Callithrix jacchus: one gene and its partner. The protein of the gene in region 1 interacts with the protein of each later gene in a pairwise test. Links are inferred from orthologs where the notes say so. Each region holds a gene or a part of one and is shown on either strand. Other genes may lie near its edges.

Region 1 (4,308 bases):
CAAAGGCTAAGGAAAAGCAGAGAAGGTAACTAACTTTAAAATTCCTTGGCTGGGGGTGGTGGCTCATGCCTGTAATCCCAGCACTTTGGGAGGCTGAGGTGGGCAGATCACCTGAGGTCAGAGTTCAAGATCAGGCTGGCCAACATGGCGAAACTCCATCTCTATTGAAAATATAAATATTAGCCAGATGTGGGGGCACATGCCTGTAATCCCAGCTACTTGGGAGACTAAGGCAGGAGAATCATTTGAACCTGGGAGGCAGAAGTTGCAGTGAGCCAAGATTGCACCACTGCACTCCAACCTGGGGGACAGAGTAAAACTCCATCTCAAAAATAATAATAATAAATAAATAAATTTGAAAAAAGTTAACCTGATTGCTTAGTACAGATTAAATGATGCTATTACATTATTAATCATGGTAGAAGTCAGGACTTCCTGGTGTGGGGGAGCCAAAATGAAAAAAAAAAAAAAGAAGTCAGGACTTTGAAAATTCAGACTTAAATGATGGTTACTATTCTTTAAAAGGATCATTCTTGGATTCTGATAGCATGAAATATATTGGTTTAAATCTAGCTTTCTTAAGTCACAACACAACTGCTTATAGGGTTTCTTCCTAGTCATTCATTCATTTGATAATTATTTACTTAATGCCTACTCTGTTATAAAGCAGTGCACAAAATACACAAAAAATTCTGACCTCATGGAATTTACTAAGAGACCTTTATCCTCTTCAGTCATCATGAGACTATTTATAGTACATTGAATAGATATAAAATTTCTTTGTTTATTGTGATTGCATTGGAGGTTTAATTATACCTTTTTAATGTAATTTTATGTTTACACAGGTAAAAAAAATGAGGAACACTTTTAAATAATTCAGATGAAAATAACTGATATTGAGGAGAGAAAAGAGTACAGGAGGAAATGAATTCTCCAGTTAGGTTATTCTCATTACCACAGTAATCCGGAGCTTCAATATACAGGTTCATTTGCTCTCTTACCTAATCTTGTGCTGATACTAATGTCAAGACCACTTAATTGTCCTTCTACATATTCTATTTATGTGGATATGCCAACAATTTCTTTTTATTTAAAAAGAGGATCTTCCTCCACTATCCCACTCAGATCTTAAGCCATAATCAATGTAAGTGCTGCTAGGTCTTGGGTGGGGATGTGGGAGAGTAGAACCTCTATTTTGGGTGGCTAGTAAGGGCAATGTTTAAACACACTATAAGTTAACACATTTTTACTTTCCTGCAAACTGGGCCAGGCATGGTGGCTCATGCCTGTAATCCTAGAACTTTGGGAAGCTGAGGTGGGTGGATCACTTGAGGTCAGGAGTCCAAGACTTTCCTGCAAACTGCCATGGTGAGCCTGGTATTCTTTCACCCAGGTATAGAATACTAAGGTTGAAAGAGACTCATACTAAAAGCTAGAATAAAACTGGTTGGGCAGGGAAATTAGGAATCTATATGAAGAATTTTAAGTAGTTTTAAAATGCAAAAAAAAGAATTACAGAAAAAAGAAGCTGGCCAGGCGCGGTGGCTTATGCCTGTAACCTTAGCACTTTGGAAGGTTGAGGAGGGTGGATCACCTGAGCTCAGGAGTTCGAGACCAGCCTGGGCAACATTGCAAAACCCCATCTCTACTAAAAATACAAGAAAATTAGCCAGGTGTGGAGGTGCGTGCCTATAGTCACAGCTACTCTGGAGGCTAAGGCAGGAGAATCTCTTGAACCTGGGAGGTGGAGGTTGCAGTGAGCTGAGATCATGCCATTGCACTTCAGCCTGGGCAACAGAGCAAGACTCTGTCTAAAAAGAAAGAAAGAAAGAAAAAAGAAGCCAAAGAAATTCTGAATGGCAGTCATCTTCCTCTTTTAATTTTTCTGAAACATTTTCAAACACAGATACCGTACACGATTTTTTAGCTCTTTGAAAAAAAAACTGAATATAAATGTTTTGAATAAACAATATTTAGCAATTGTGAACACCTTGGTTATGACACATCAAACATATTTTAGATTTTAGTTTTTAAAATTTGATTTCTGCTCCCAAATAACCCAGTTCCCACCTTGCTTATCTTCAGTTGTAATTGTATAAACATTATACCACAAACCTACAGTTCAAGATTTCATCAGAGTTAATTGATACAAAAAATAACCTTTAAAACTTTTTAATGACCAACATAGTTAAACACAAGCCTTGTTAAGTGGCAAGCAAACACAAGGTTGGTTACATGTCTCAAGCCTTCCCCATAAAATTGAGTGGCTCATCCAACACATGTGTTTCTTGTGGTTTGAACATGATCCTGTGCTTGCCTTCAGCTGTTTTCTTAATTCAGTCAGTCAGCCACAGAAACAGTTTACTCACATTGGGATGATCCACAGGAATGTCAAGGAATCTGGAAGATCTATGACAGAGGAAGTCTTCACTTGGACGATAAGCATGAGAGAATTTCCATGCTAGTAGATTCATATAAAATATTTGCATTTGCTATTTTTCTTATATCGCTATAGGCTCCAGTTCTCTAAAACAAATTACTCACATATACCAAAGCTTCAATAAGTTTTGCTTGAAGTTTGTAGATTCATCTTAAGAGACCCAGTATCAGATGAAAAAAACTAAACAAAACCTCTGCGTGGTATTTTTGAAAAACAGACAGTATGTATTTTTTAGCCATTTTTAATGAGAAAAATTTTCACAGCAAAGACAAGTTCTTGACCATCCAAAACAATAGATTGGTGGTGGATTTTAGAAAACATTATACAAAAGGCATAACAATAATATAATTGAAAAAGACAATGAAATCATTAAGAAATTTCTTTTTCATCTAAACAGTACTGAAAATGCTTGCCTGGGAAAACTAAAAACATTTTTAAAAAACGATTTAAAAGTTCAAAACCAACTTAGTTTTAAAAACTAAAAACATTTTTAAAAACTAAACAGAATACCCACTTAAAAACATTACCCTGAGAAGTAAATTTGTGGTTACCTGTCTCAGGAGAAGCACCATTCCTCTATCAATCAACCAGGATCATCTAAAGTCCGAATCTCACTGCCTAACTTGTGTCAGACACAAAAGTGGCACGAAGGGAAATGTGATACAGTCCCGCCAGTGTAATGAAGGGTATTTACAGGGTTCCGTTGCAGATCCAGGGACAGTCATTTAGAACAGATTGCTCTTTCAGATCAACTTTAATAACTCAGTCTGCACGATGTTCTTAGCCTGGAGGGCTGGTGGGGTGGATAATGACTAAGATAACTAAGGAAATAGGCTTTCTTGATTTCTTCTTAGACTAAATGAAAATAGTAGTGACAAAATTCTCAAGAATAAAGCATAGGGAATACATAAGACATCTATATACAGAATGCATATTACATGTGTAAATATCTGTTTAGTACCATGCTGGGACTGTGGTCAAGGCATTTCTTAAGGTAAATATGGAAAAACAATTAATTATTACAGTACTTCCTGCTTGCTCCCCTAATTTTAAGGTGATTAAAGTTTTGTTATGTGGTTTGTATTAAAACACAACAAAGCTTCCTTTACTTGTGCTTTTGGTATATAGCACATATCAAAGTTTGCACTTTTCAAAAAGTATTATTTCCAAGAAGAAAATCTATTCAGAACTCTTTAAAAGAGCGCTCTGAGACTAAGTTACTGATGAAATCTGGAACAATTGTTATCATGTATGTATTCCTCAAAGTATACAGTTAAATCCTACTTCTTACCACATTAATATATATAACTATATGAACATACATAAATACAGTACAATCTTGGTAGAAATAAGTTAACATTTCTTAGCTATGTACTGGGCACTATGCTAGACCCTTTGTGTATGTTGTGTTTTATGTAATGGATTCCCTTAACAGTCTATGAAGTATATGCATGGATTAAACATGTATATAAAAAAAAAGAAAAATAGTCTATGAAGTAGGTATCATTACAATTCTCATTTTACAGATGAAAACTTGAGGCTTAGAAATTAGTTTAAAACTTGCCCAAGGTCACAAGACAAGTAAGTGACTTAGCCAAAATTGAACCAAGGTCTGTGCTCATAACTATTGCAAATATTCAAATGATTACATTTCCAACATATTTGTAAAAAATTAAAGGTAAAAATCAACAGAAAACATATCTTTCTTTTAGTAAATATTCTGAGGGAACTCTATGTAGGGTTTTAAGTTAATGATTTTTCTGACTGAAACCAACCCTGAAATTATCTTGTATGACTAAACAAACAAAAAGAAGTGATAATTTAGAAAGAAAAAAGCAAATGCTTGCAAATAAACTCTATATGCAATA
Region 2 (3,712 bases), about 21 Mb from region 1:
TAGGGTATTGGAGTGAAATAATGCCTAAGGTTGTTCCAGCTCTAATCCTCCATTAGCCCATTCATATAAAGCCAATTTATCAGAAATCACTAATCCTTTTGTATTCTTTCCCCCATGAAGTGAAATTGGGGATCACTTCTGAAGTTGAACTAAAAGCATGTCTCCCATTCTCCTAAAAATGAATTGAAACTTTTTGATAGTCAGTCTGGCTACAGGCCCAGATGCAAGAAAACTGTCTGATCTGCATGGTAAATGCTGTATGAACAAGGGAAGTGCAAGATACAAGAAAGGGAGATGTCAGCATTTAGGTAATTTTGAGCCTTTAAGTTCACATTCCTCAACATAGGCCTTTGAGCCCTTAGGGCTCAAATATTAGTTGCAGGATAATTGTTCTGATTCTGCAATTTTAGTTAACTTTGACATTTCTAATTCATAAAGAAGCACTTGAGTTTCTCTCAGTTACATCATCAGAATCTTCAGCTTCATAGTTCTTAAAAGGGTTTATGCACATTTTTATATTTATTACTATCTCTTTTTTAAAATCTTGTTCTGATAGTATAAACGGACAGCTCTTCATAGAGCATGCTTGGAAGGACATTTGGCAATTGTGGAGAAGTTAATGGAAGCTGGAGCCCAGATTGAATTCCGTGATATGGTAAATATATTTCTTTGCTTGGGAATGAGCCAAAATAAGTAAACCATATGAAGCTCCAGAAAACCTCCAATGCAAAACCAGGCTGACTGGATTGAAAATTGATCTGAGAAAATGAGGCAAAAGCTCATTTCTCCAAATAAAGTTGGGAGATGAGACTGGGTCATGTGGAATATTTTCCATACATACTGAAAATAGAGGAATATTTCAGGGAAAAGAAGGAAGTGAGAGCTGTTAAACAGAATTCAATATCCTCATCAGCAAGTTAGTCATTCATTTTCAACAATTGACTTACAACAGCCTTGTCCCTCCATTGTACACAGGGCAGCCTGCTCATGGTCCCTTGGCTGCCAGCAACATATACGAATTCTCTAGCTGCACACTTTATATGATAGATGCCAATTGCCACCAATGAGATTTGGGGCTAGACTGCATGTGAAATGAATTGCATCTATGGAAAGTAGCCGCTATTCAGACTTCAATAATTCAATCACTGTAATTTCTACAAAGACCAGTATGCAGCATAATTTATGAACTGAAGATTGAGCTGGGAAAATGCTTTATGTATTTAAATGCAGCTCAATTGGATTTTATAGCAAAGTGGAAAACGAGATATCAAAGAAATCCAAAGGACTTGGCCAAAATTGAATCCAAAATACAAACACATTGAAAAAAATTAAAGAAACAAAATATGAGTTTACATGGAAACTAAAAAATCGTGAGTGTGGGATTAAGGTCAGGGGCATACCAACTACACAGAGCAGTGAGGAAGGGGTCTCCTAGGTTTAACTATGCAAGTTACAACTGGAGCCACAAGTGACCACAGTTGAGGTACAGAGGCTGTGCCAGCAAAAATGAGAGCAGAAAACCCACAGGGGTAGAGAAAGAGTGACAAGGACCACAGATGAGGTGTCAGATCCAGATTAAAATATTTTAGAAGGCACTACTTTTATTCTGCCAGAATTTTTAAGTACATGTGTTTAGAACTTCTGAGTATATTTTACAAAAGTGGCTAAAAGTTCCAGGCAGATGGGGGTTTGAATATGTATTCTGCCTCTTATTAACTGTGTTTCCTTGGGCTAGAAACTTGAACTTTTGGGAACCTGGTTTTTCCTAACTGTAAAATGTGCATAGTACCACCTACCTCAAAATGTTGCTGGAAGAATCAAGGTGTCTAGAGTGTAGCACCATGTTGGCATGAGAAATGTCTCAATAAATGGTCGTTCTTGTTCTTTTAAAAATTATTAGATTTATTAAGAGCCTCCTAATAAAACACACATATGCACGCACACACACATATAACTTGCTAACAGATTTGGTGAAAAAACATCTTTGACTCCAGTTAGAATTGGCAGTCTAGATGGGGACAACTCATTGTTATCACGGATGCCTTGGCAATCAGCTTCTAATTCCCCAGACCACATTCTCCTTCATGTTGTCGGGTCTTTTTCCCTCCCGGTATAGCTCGAATCCACAGCCATCCACTGGGCAAGCCGTGGAGGAAACCTGGATGTTTTAAAATTGTTGCTGAACAAAGGAGCAAAAATTAGCGCCCGAGATAAGGTATTTCTTCTCCTTTTCTTCCCTTCAATCACCCCTTCCCCCTCCCTGTTACCCTCCTCCTTCTCCACTTCTCCCACTCTTCCCCCTTCCTCACCCCTCTTCCTCCTTCCCTTCTCCCTCTCCTAACCTCACCTCTCCGTTAAAGTCATCAGGAGGCCCTTGCTGTGTGCAGACACCCTAGTGACCACTTCTCCCCCTCGCACATGTCTTGGGGTCTGGGACAGCCTCTCCTCTATCCTCATTCCTAGCGAATCAGCAGCGTTTTCCAATTTTCCAGTTGCTCAGCACAGCGCTGCATGTGGCGGTGAGGACTGGCCACTATGAGTGCGCGGAGCATCTTATCGCCTGTGAGGCCGACCTCAACGCCAAAGACAGAGTGAGTAGCTGAACACACTCGGGTTTCCCAAAGCTTCATTGCTTATGTGTTAGGAATCACTCCCCCAAGCCTGGGTGCCCTTGCAGGACCCAATTCTGGCCTTAGACCCACCTTGAGTCTGTTTACTCTGCTTCTCTAGGAAGGAGATACCCCCTTGCACGATGCGGTGAGACTGAATCGCTATAAGATGATCCGACTCCTGATAATGTACGGCGCGGATCTCAATATCAAGAACTGTGTAAGTACTGGGAACCAGAAACACTGCTTGCAAGCTTTCTAATTTCCAGAAGCATTTCTTAAATACGTGAAAAGACCTCCATAGTGGCATTATTTGGGGGTCTAAATGTCCCTGCCCATTTCTCTGAGGACAGTGTTTATCTTGGCTAGCACTCAGGTCACATGGCCAGAGAAGGGGAAGTCATCGGTACTGCTGTGACTTCAGTGCCCGATAAGATACCTAATAATTCTTTTACAGTTCGGTCTTGAAAATGAAAGATAGTCAAAATTTGCACATCCACACAAATACCTAGAAGTCCAATCTACCTTGGCCAATCCTATCAGTTCAAGGGCTGAGAAAGTTAGAAGTAAAGACCGCTACCATTTCTGAAATGGTCTAAAATTCCACAAGGGTCAGTGCAGGCAGTGAACTAAAGTTAATCAGTATCCAATCTGAGTAATTCAGAAGGTCCCTTTCCTCCTTACAGCAATGTGAAATGTCACCATTTTCTTTTAGGGGTAGCTGTGCTTTTGCCTGTATTTTTTATTTTTTCAGATAATTTCTATCTATTCTCCACTTGGATTTGTCTGCAGATCTCTCAAAATAATTTCCTATATTTAGGCCCTGAAAATTCTTGTATAAGTACATATTAATTTAACTTCATCTGTAAGCAGGGAACATAACCAACTTTTCCTCATGGTCTCAATTTCCAGACAAACACCATCTAATATAAGCTTTAAAAATATTGCCCAGAGGAACGGATATACATTTCTGAAGAAACAATTTTTAAGAAGCTTCTGAAGAATCACTTTACAAAAAAGGGTGGAGGGGGGACTCTGTCATCATATAAATGCAAATAATTTTCTCCCCTATTTGTGTTGCAAAGACTGAGAGGAATATCTTA

What was found.
Region 2: the proteins of MYPN (region 1) and ANKRD1 interact in a two-hybrid assay, tested with the Homo sapiens proteins (2 studies listed by BioGRID). The link is inferred for Callithrix jacchus from reciprocal best matches to the Homo sapiens genes MYPN and ANKRD1.

What each region holds. Positions count from the first base shown.
Region 1 is NC_133513.1:62,291,738-62,296,045, forward strand, and holds the start of MYPN (myopalladin), read right to left. Parts: upstream 3,057-4,308; 5' UTR 2,992-3,056; intron 1-2,991. UniProt on the Homo sapiens protein: Component of the sarcomere that tethers together nebulin (skeletal muscle) and nebulette (cardiac muscle) to alpha-actinin, at the Z lines.
Region 2 is NC_133513.1:83,691,494-83,695,205, reverse strand, and holds part of ANKRD1 (ankyrin repeat domain-containing protein 1), read left to right. Parts: intron 1-556; coding exon 557-655; intron 656-2,116; coding exon 2,117-2,215; intron 2,216-2,492; coding exon 2,493-2,591; intron 2,592-2,730; coding exon 2,731-2,829; intron 2,830-3,712. UniProt on the Homo sapiens protein: May play an important role in endothelial cell activation. May act as a nuclear transcription factor that negatively regulates the expression of cardiac genes. Induction seems to be correlated with apoptotic cell death in hepatoma cells.